2 linked regions of the Arabidopsis thaliana genome follow. The protein of the gene in region 2 interacts with the protein of the main gene of each other region in a pairwise test. Each region holds a gene or a part of one and is shown on either strand. Other genes may lie near its edges. The genes, in order: AT1G29960 and AGL48.

The links.
Region 1: the proteins of AGL48 (region 2) and AT1G29960 interact in a two-hybrid assay, tested with the Arabidopsis thaliana proteins (one large-scale study listed by BioGRID).

The regions. Positions count from the first base shown.
Region 1 is NC_003070.9:10,492,518-10,496,901, reverse strand, and holds AT1G29960 (Peptidase S24/S26A/S26B/S26C family protein), read right to left. Parts: upstream 2,276-4,384; 5' UTR 2,090-2,275; coding exon 1,964-2,089; intron 1,889-1,963; exon of another isoform or gene 1,876-1,888; coding exon 1,651-1,875; intron 1,338-1,650; coding exon 1,227-1,337; intron 1,099-1,226; coding exon 1,051-1,098; 3' UTR 697-1,050; downstream 1-696. Other genes in the region: AGL64 (AGAMOUS-like 64), read right to left, coding at 1-172; AT1G29950 (basic helix-loop-helix (bHLH) DNA-binding superfamily protein), read right to left, coding at 2,686-3,441.
Region 2 is NC_003071.7:16,792,542-16,796,266, reverse strand, and holds AGL48 (AGAMOUS-like 48), read left to right. Parts: upstream 1-1,938; coding exon 1,939-3,054; downstream 3,055-3,725.

The sequences.
Region 1 (4,384 bases), on a different chromosome or scaffold from region 2:
CAGAGCAAGAATACCCGAGAAACGCAACTTCAGCACCACAGAGAATGGAAAGCTCACTGAGTTTAGTGTAGATACCATTTCGACGCTTAGACAATGTGACCAATCTGTCTTCGTCTTTTTCAATTTTCTTGATGTTAATCCTTTGTTTTCCTTTGGTTTTCTTGGGTTTCATTTTGGAGAAAAACAAAATTATGAGTTTATTGGCTATAAAAAAATAAGAGAAATTTAAACTAAGTATTTGTTTGCTGTTTTTGGCTTTAGCCAAGGAATATGTTTTTTTTGTGGGTGCAAGATAGGGTTTATATAGATGGAAAAATGGTAGTAATTTAAATTGCATAAAAGTTAGTCAATTCTTAGATTAATGTTTGGAAGGTTGGTAATATTGATTATCCGCATAGTTATGGTTGATTGATAACAATTGTTAATGTTGGATGTAGAGACTTTGACTGGAAAAACTTTTTTTGTAAGGACTTTGACTATATAAATTTTTATAACCAATTGGTAAAAATTGTGATAGTCGAAACTACGATTTTAAATAACTATCAAATATGTGGGAAAACAGAAAATAAATCACAATGATTGTTTTAAAAATTATTTGACACACAATTAAGAAAATCCCTACAGTTTGGCTTGACAAACTTGACGTTACCACCAATTGGTATCACCATGATTGATTTAAGTGAAAATAGAGCAATCTTTAAAATGTGGGGAAATGCTATTGATCAAGTAGTATTTTTAAATGGTTATAAGATTTTCCCATGAATAATCTTGGCTTCACACAAAACATTCGATGTTTGTTTTAACTTTTTGATACAGAGGCGACTCTCACATACAGCGTCAGACCAAAAATACATAATGTTACGTGCTCTCAAGTCTAAACCATATACTCACTTTTCCTGAGCGTTTAGATTCTCCCATCTTCGTGAATGGTATGATGATCCTGCATCTCATAGTCAGTCATGAGCCAGACTCACTCGGCAACAACGATTAACCATACTACCAATCTGCCTCGGTCATCTCATTGGCCTAATGACCAAGCTAACTCGTATGCTAAGTTGGGGTTGGTCCAAGCGGTCCAAAATCTTGAAATGGCCAAACCTACACATTATTATACATACCGAAGATTAGCCAAATAGATTTACCAAAACAAATGCAAATAACACATTTGAAGTTCCGAAATCAGATAATCTAACTATATTTGTAAGTTAATGACAAAAAGTTTATACCCTCCAAAGCACTCTGCCTTGAATAAGACCGTAAGGTACAGTACCAAAGTTTCTTGAGTCTCGTGAGTTATGAGTATAGTCACCTTGAACAAAGACATGTCCTTTAGGAACCTAAAACCAAAAAAACATCGAAAGATCAATTCGCCATTAATCCAACAAACTAAACAATCCAAAGGAAATTGTAATATACACCAATAACACTAACGTTGCTAAAAGATTCAAAATTTTCCATGAATTGCAATCAGCTAAATCGAGCTCAATACTAATTAACAACTTGTTTCAACTCTGATCACTCAATTTCTCAACAATGTATCTACCTTCTTCAAACTCAGTTCTCTAAGTACAACATTCAAAAATCTCATCCATAAGCAAAACCAAAGTGAAGTGAAGTCAACAAGGAAGAAGGTTAAGTAACAAAACATACCACAATGGTTTGAGATTCATCACTCTTCCTTGAATCAATCACAAAGCTTATACAATCACCTTCAATACCAATAACTCTTTTAATTGGAGTCTTATTAGGGTTTTCTGGAGATCGTATCACAACTATATCTCCACGACTCGGTTTCTGATACCGCTTCGAGATTCTCTCCGCTAATAACACATTTCCCGAAGGATGAAGCGTCGGAGTCATGCTCGGACCATAAGCCTGCTCAAAAAGACTACATCTTTATGGTAAATTTTCAATAACGAATTCGATTTACACCAAAAAAGAAGAGAGATTTCGATTGACTCACATAAGCCATGAATCCGAGATAGTTTGTTGTTACATGAAGAAAGCAGTAGAGTTTCGCGAGTAACACGCCGCTTTTCATGGCTTCTCGTGAAGCTGTGTTCCAGAAAGACGACGACGGAGTCGCCATTGCCTATTTCTTCAACTGAATCCAACGAATCGAGATTTGAGAACTACACAAAGTCTGCAGATTTCACGAAAGTGTGAAGCTTTGAGACGAATCGTTGAGCTATACTGTGTAAAATAAAATGTAATCATAACCCAATTTATAAACCCGGTTATTTAATAACCCAGTTAATTTCCATCAGAAATTGAATTTTGGTTACGTATAGGACCCGTTTTATGGTATAAGCGTGACTTTTCAAAATGATGGCCCTTACATTGTTCAGTAGAAGGAAGACCAAATGTTTAAAACTATGTAGAAGCAAATACATAATGATAATTGTAGTTCATAGTCAAATGATTACAGTGAAAGTAAAACCATACAAATTAAAATCTCAAATCAAATCCACAAGTACTTGTTCAAACCTTGCTTCTTCATCGAAGCAGTAACACACAAAAAGCAAAATACATAGAGAGATTCAAACATAAAATAGATACCATCCTGCCAACAAAAGGAAGTGAGTATAGAGGGAGGAAAATAAAGAGAAAGGTCCAGATAGCGCTAGACCGATGATTTACCTCCCGAGAAACAATAGTGATGGAAGAACCGAATATCGGTAGCATTCAAGATTGGTTTGAGAAATGTCCAACGCCAAGTTTCTGAGCTTCGATTTTAAGTGACTTGAGATACTGAACAGCTTCATCAAGAACGCAAGCTGTATTCATCTGTTCTCCTCCAGGGACAATTCTCCTCAATACTCCCATCATCTTCTTCATCTTTTTACGTCCTTTCCCATCATTGTTACTACTACTAGCACTGCCCGATAAACTCTGCTTCCTTGAGTTGTTGTTGTTGTTGTTGTTGTAACCATAACTGGAACAACAAGATTCTGCTGTGGTGTTTCCATAATCCCTGGAAGAAGTACGAGCAGTGCTGACTTCTTCTGAATCACCACCATCCTCTTCACCTTCATTATCATCATTCTCTTCATAATCTTCATCTGCGCTCAAGAGAGCATCGATCTCATTTGGATCTTCTTGATAAGAAGAGGATACTTCTTGCTCATAGTTACCATAGTTACCATAACTTCCCCCAACATACTCGTTCTGAAACGTCGAAGCTAAATTGTTCAACGAAGGGGTATTCATGAGCTTATGAGTCAGCTCAGGATGGTACATCACTTGGCTGCGGTCATATGTTTGATCGAAGATGACAAAGTTCTTTGGACAGACCGCAGACGGTTGAAGTTCAACACCATGGTATGGCAACTTTGCACATGGTGGGAACAAAGCATCATAGGATGACCCTGATGCATACGGGTTGTGCATATTTCTGTCACCCACTTCATCTGAGAAGTGAGGAAACTGATTGTTCTGCATCAGAAAACCCGTGCAAACGTAAAAAAGGAAACGCAAAGAGAAAAACAAGTTGTACACCTCAAACTGCAAGCTGCTTGAATATTTTCTACTACCGATTTGTCGCCTTTGTAAGCTTCCAGCTGCTCAGTTACTACTACACTAAGTTGACACACGGAACCAAATGCTATATCAAGTTATGGCCATCATACTAAAGATATCACGAGTTTCCACCAGAGCCCTTACCCCCCAAACCAGAAGCTCCCCCACAGACAGCTCTTCAGAATACCAGACTCTTTAACAACTCACAGTAAATTTTTTCGAAATCAAAAGTAGATAGCCGCTCAAAACCCCAATTTCCGAAAACTCCAGACGCTAGACTACGTTACAGGCTTAAGCAACTGTCTGAAATATTCAGCCTGCAATGATTTATAAGAAAGGTTGAATATCAGAAAAACTATGGTTAATACTCTAACAAATAGCTATCCACATGTCATCAAGAGGATAGAGTTCTTTTAATGACATAAATCAGTGTTGCCTAAGCGATAGAAGTGTTAGGAAATACTAAATCAAAGAGAGGCATGTACCTGGCAAACTTGAACGGATTGGTAATTAGCAATGAAACATGTAGTCATCATAAAAGTTCCTATTTCCTTCAATGATCGGTTTCCCTTCTTGTTTCCAACAATGCACATTCTCACAAACTAACCAGTATAATAAGCACAACAACAAAGAACTATTCCGAATTCCGGAAACAACACCTGCAAAACAAGGAAGAGATGCCAATAGTTTTAACACAAGAAGCTGTATATAAGGTGGCAACAACAAAATTTGCTTCCACAAGGTACCAATGTAAGACAAAAACACAAGATGTGAAATGAGAGGCTGGCTCACCTGAAAGGAACAAAATTACAGAATAACGAGGAAAAAGACAACCAGACGAGTGCAAGTTCTGTTGAAAAACATG
Region 2 (3,725 bases):
TATAATTATTGATAGGATATGATAATTTCTGTTTGGTTGTTCGAGTTTCAGAGGTTATATATAGTTATATTTTGTTTATCTCTGAGAATATTTACACATATCTCTATTAAGTTTTAGTAATATAGGAATCATCAATGTAGAAACTATGGAGAGAAACACGTTTTCAAAAAGTGTTCATCACTGGATGCATAATTGTTGTCGTTGAGAAGATTATTTACATTATTCGAGCTGGGTATTCTCACACCAACACTTCATATTCAAGTTTACAATTTTTTGTATCGATCATCCTTCAAAGTGTTTGGACATGATTTTGTCCGAATCCTAGCTTTCTTTGACTAAAAAGAGTTCTCCGTTTCTGTATTTCCCTTGTCCTGTGATTTCTTGTTTACTATGGTGTTTATTGGAAGTTGACAAGAAAAAATCAATTTTATTTTTTGTTTATGATTATATTTCGAATCTTTTAACAGTATTATACAAAATTTAAATTAAAAATAATCCCATATCTGACTGGGTTATACATGAATATTTCAATATTAATAATTAATTTAATTTATAATAATTATATATACAAAACACAACAAAATAGATTATTATATTTTCATTTGTTATATGAAATCACAACACTTTTCTATATCTTGGTTACGTAATAATTTAAGTGCACAAATATGGGTATGGTGATTCATATACTAGATAGAGATTGACATAAACTTTTCTAGAACCGATTATTTTGGTAATCAAATCATACAATGTTGTTTATGAAAGATCACCAGACAATGTGGAATAAAGCTTAGTTTTATTGTTTTCCTCTATATCTTGGTATTATTGAAATCTGGCAAAGTAGTACCAAACCGAATCCAAAAAAAACAAAATCGAGAAACAAAGAGAGTTACTACGTACACAAAAGAAAACATTCAACCACAACAACACAACGATGAGAGAAAAAAGATCGCTAAACAAAGAAAAAGAAAAAGATACAAGATGTCCATTAGAGTTTTAAGAATATATTATTCTCTTATATTTTTCCCTTAAAAGTATTGTTGTTTCAGTTTTTTGTATAAAACAATTATAAACAATTCTCAGTTTAGAGTCTCAATGTAATAACAAGAAAACATCTGAAGTAAAAAAAACAATTTATAAATAAAGAATTCAAGAGTCAACTTTTATGTATACATATGGTAATACATATATATATATATTTAATTCATACTATGTAAATATGAAAATGATACTTACACTGAAGAAAATGTATAGTCAACATTTAGTTTCCAAAATAATTATCTAACACTATGAATTAATATGATTCACAACAATGAAAATAATGTTAGTCAATATAATCATTAGCATTAAATAATGACAGAACAATTAATTAAATCATCAATTTGGTATATTGACTAGGACCTAAATTTGGACAGAAATTCAGTTATTTCAATTTTCTGTAATAGTACAATTAACCACATAAAGATTTTAACATGTTAATGGTTTGATTTGGATTTTAGTTTTTGTTTACTAGTATTGTTTTTAAAGAATAATCAATGTAAAACCAAATCCAATATAGTTTGGTAAATTTTTAATTAGCTTTGAATTCAGTTCTTAAACTTTTACTTTTTTAGCAAAATAAGTTTCATTTTTAGTCAATTTTCTATGGTATTTATGATATTTGAAAATAACTTTATAACCAAAACATAGGAAAATTCTAGTTTTTGAGTTGATATTTTCAACTTGGTTTAGATCTAAAAGGTTTGGTTTAACTAAAACATTACCATAGACATTCAATATTTTTTAGTAAGTAGCAATTAATTTTACATCTTTTGACTAGTATCATTTTCCAAAATCTCATCTTTTCAACACTATTTAAACGGATTCCCGCGCTAATCTTCATTCATATGCTCAACAACATTTAAAATTTTAAAAGAGAGAAATAAAAATCGAAGAGTGATCATGACAAGAAAGAAAGTAAAACTTGTATGGATCGAGAATGACAAGTCAAGAGCAACAAGTTTGCAAAAAATGAGGGTAGGATTACTTAAAAAGGTGAAAGAGCTAACCATATTGTGTGCTGTAAGGGCTATTGTAATCATTTTCAGCCCCGATAAGGTTGGACCATTGGTGTGGCCATCTCCTCAGGCGACTCATGGTCTCCTAGACGAATTTTTCGCTTTACCGAAGTCCGTGCAGAAGAAGAAAGAGTCAAATGTCGAATCCTACCTAAAAGAGAAGACACATAAGTTTCAAGAACAATTGAAGAAGAGTAAAAAGAAGAACAAGGAGCATGTCATTGATGAGCTGATGATGCAACTCCAAAGCGGTCGTGAAATTGCTGATCTTAACCAAAGTGAGATGTATGCCTTGTTATCTTTCTCAAGAGATACTATCCTACTTTGTAGGAAGAAACTAGCTTTCATGCAATTTCCTCCTCTTCGCGATCCACCAGTGTTTCCATTTGAAATACAAGTCGAAGAGTTCAAAACCACCACAAATGATGGTTTTGTAGGAGGCGGTCAAGATAATAAAAGAGCTGGAAGGACAGATGAAGCAACAAGATTCATCAACACCGATATATTTAAGCAGAGTAAAAGTTATTACTTTTTTGATGAATGGGTTTTTCCACCTAGTCCACCTAAATATGAAATACCGCAACAAATGGAGAACGGAAATCCAAACCCTAAAAGCTATCGTCTTTATCAAGGAAGCAGTAGCAACGGAAACCCTCATTTGGAAATGGATCCATTTCGTCTCCAAATGATGACTTCCCAAGGTTTGGCTGGGTCAGTCTCCCAACCTTTACAACATCACAGCATGATCAATAATCCAACAATGGCTATGAATCAACCAAGCCAAGATCCTTTTGATTACATGAGAAGTGAGCTGGGAATAAACGAAGGAATCAACATTAACAACTCACAATTTTACATGAGCAACAACACTATAACGGCTAATGATGGTGTTCGCCAAGAACCATATCCTAATGTAACAACCGCTGGAGAAAACAATGGTGATGCGACGACGTCTAATACCAACATGGTGTGGCCGGGTTTTAACAATCATCATTTCTAAACTCTTGATTTGGTTTGTGTTCTAAGTTTGTATGCGTTTATCTTTAAACTGTGTTTCTTTGTTTGTTTGTGGAGCTTTAAAAAGCTTTTCTTTTTGTTGTTTTAAACTTGTGTTTGTCTTTTTTTTTTCTACAAACTGTTGGTCATTTTGTTTCGTTGTTTTGGAATAAAAAATCTTTTTATTTTGTTGACTTTGAGTTGGTCATTTTGTTTCGTTGATTTTGACTATGCATTTTTATTTCATCGGAGACCTATCTCTTATTTCTATATTTTATTGTGATTTACTTTTTTTTTCCATCCTTAATCTTAATCATTAACCTGATTTTATTAAAATGCATACGTTTTTTTTTATATAAAAACATTAATAAGTATATGATGGATGAGTTGGCCAAATTTATAACAAATTTTCTTTAAAAACCCATAGAAACAAACAAATAATTTATTTTAACAGACAGAAAAAAAGAATATTTAACTTTTGATTCTCGTCCAAATTTCTTAAAAGCTAAGAATATATAAGCAAAAGGCCCATATTGTTATATGGGCTAAGAAAAAGGCCCATATATATATACCTCTACCCTAGGGTTTTCAAGGTATATATTCACAGTTACGCTACATTTCCACTTCTTGTTACCGTCGCCGTGAAATCGCCGATTAGGGTTCTGAGCAAAAGAG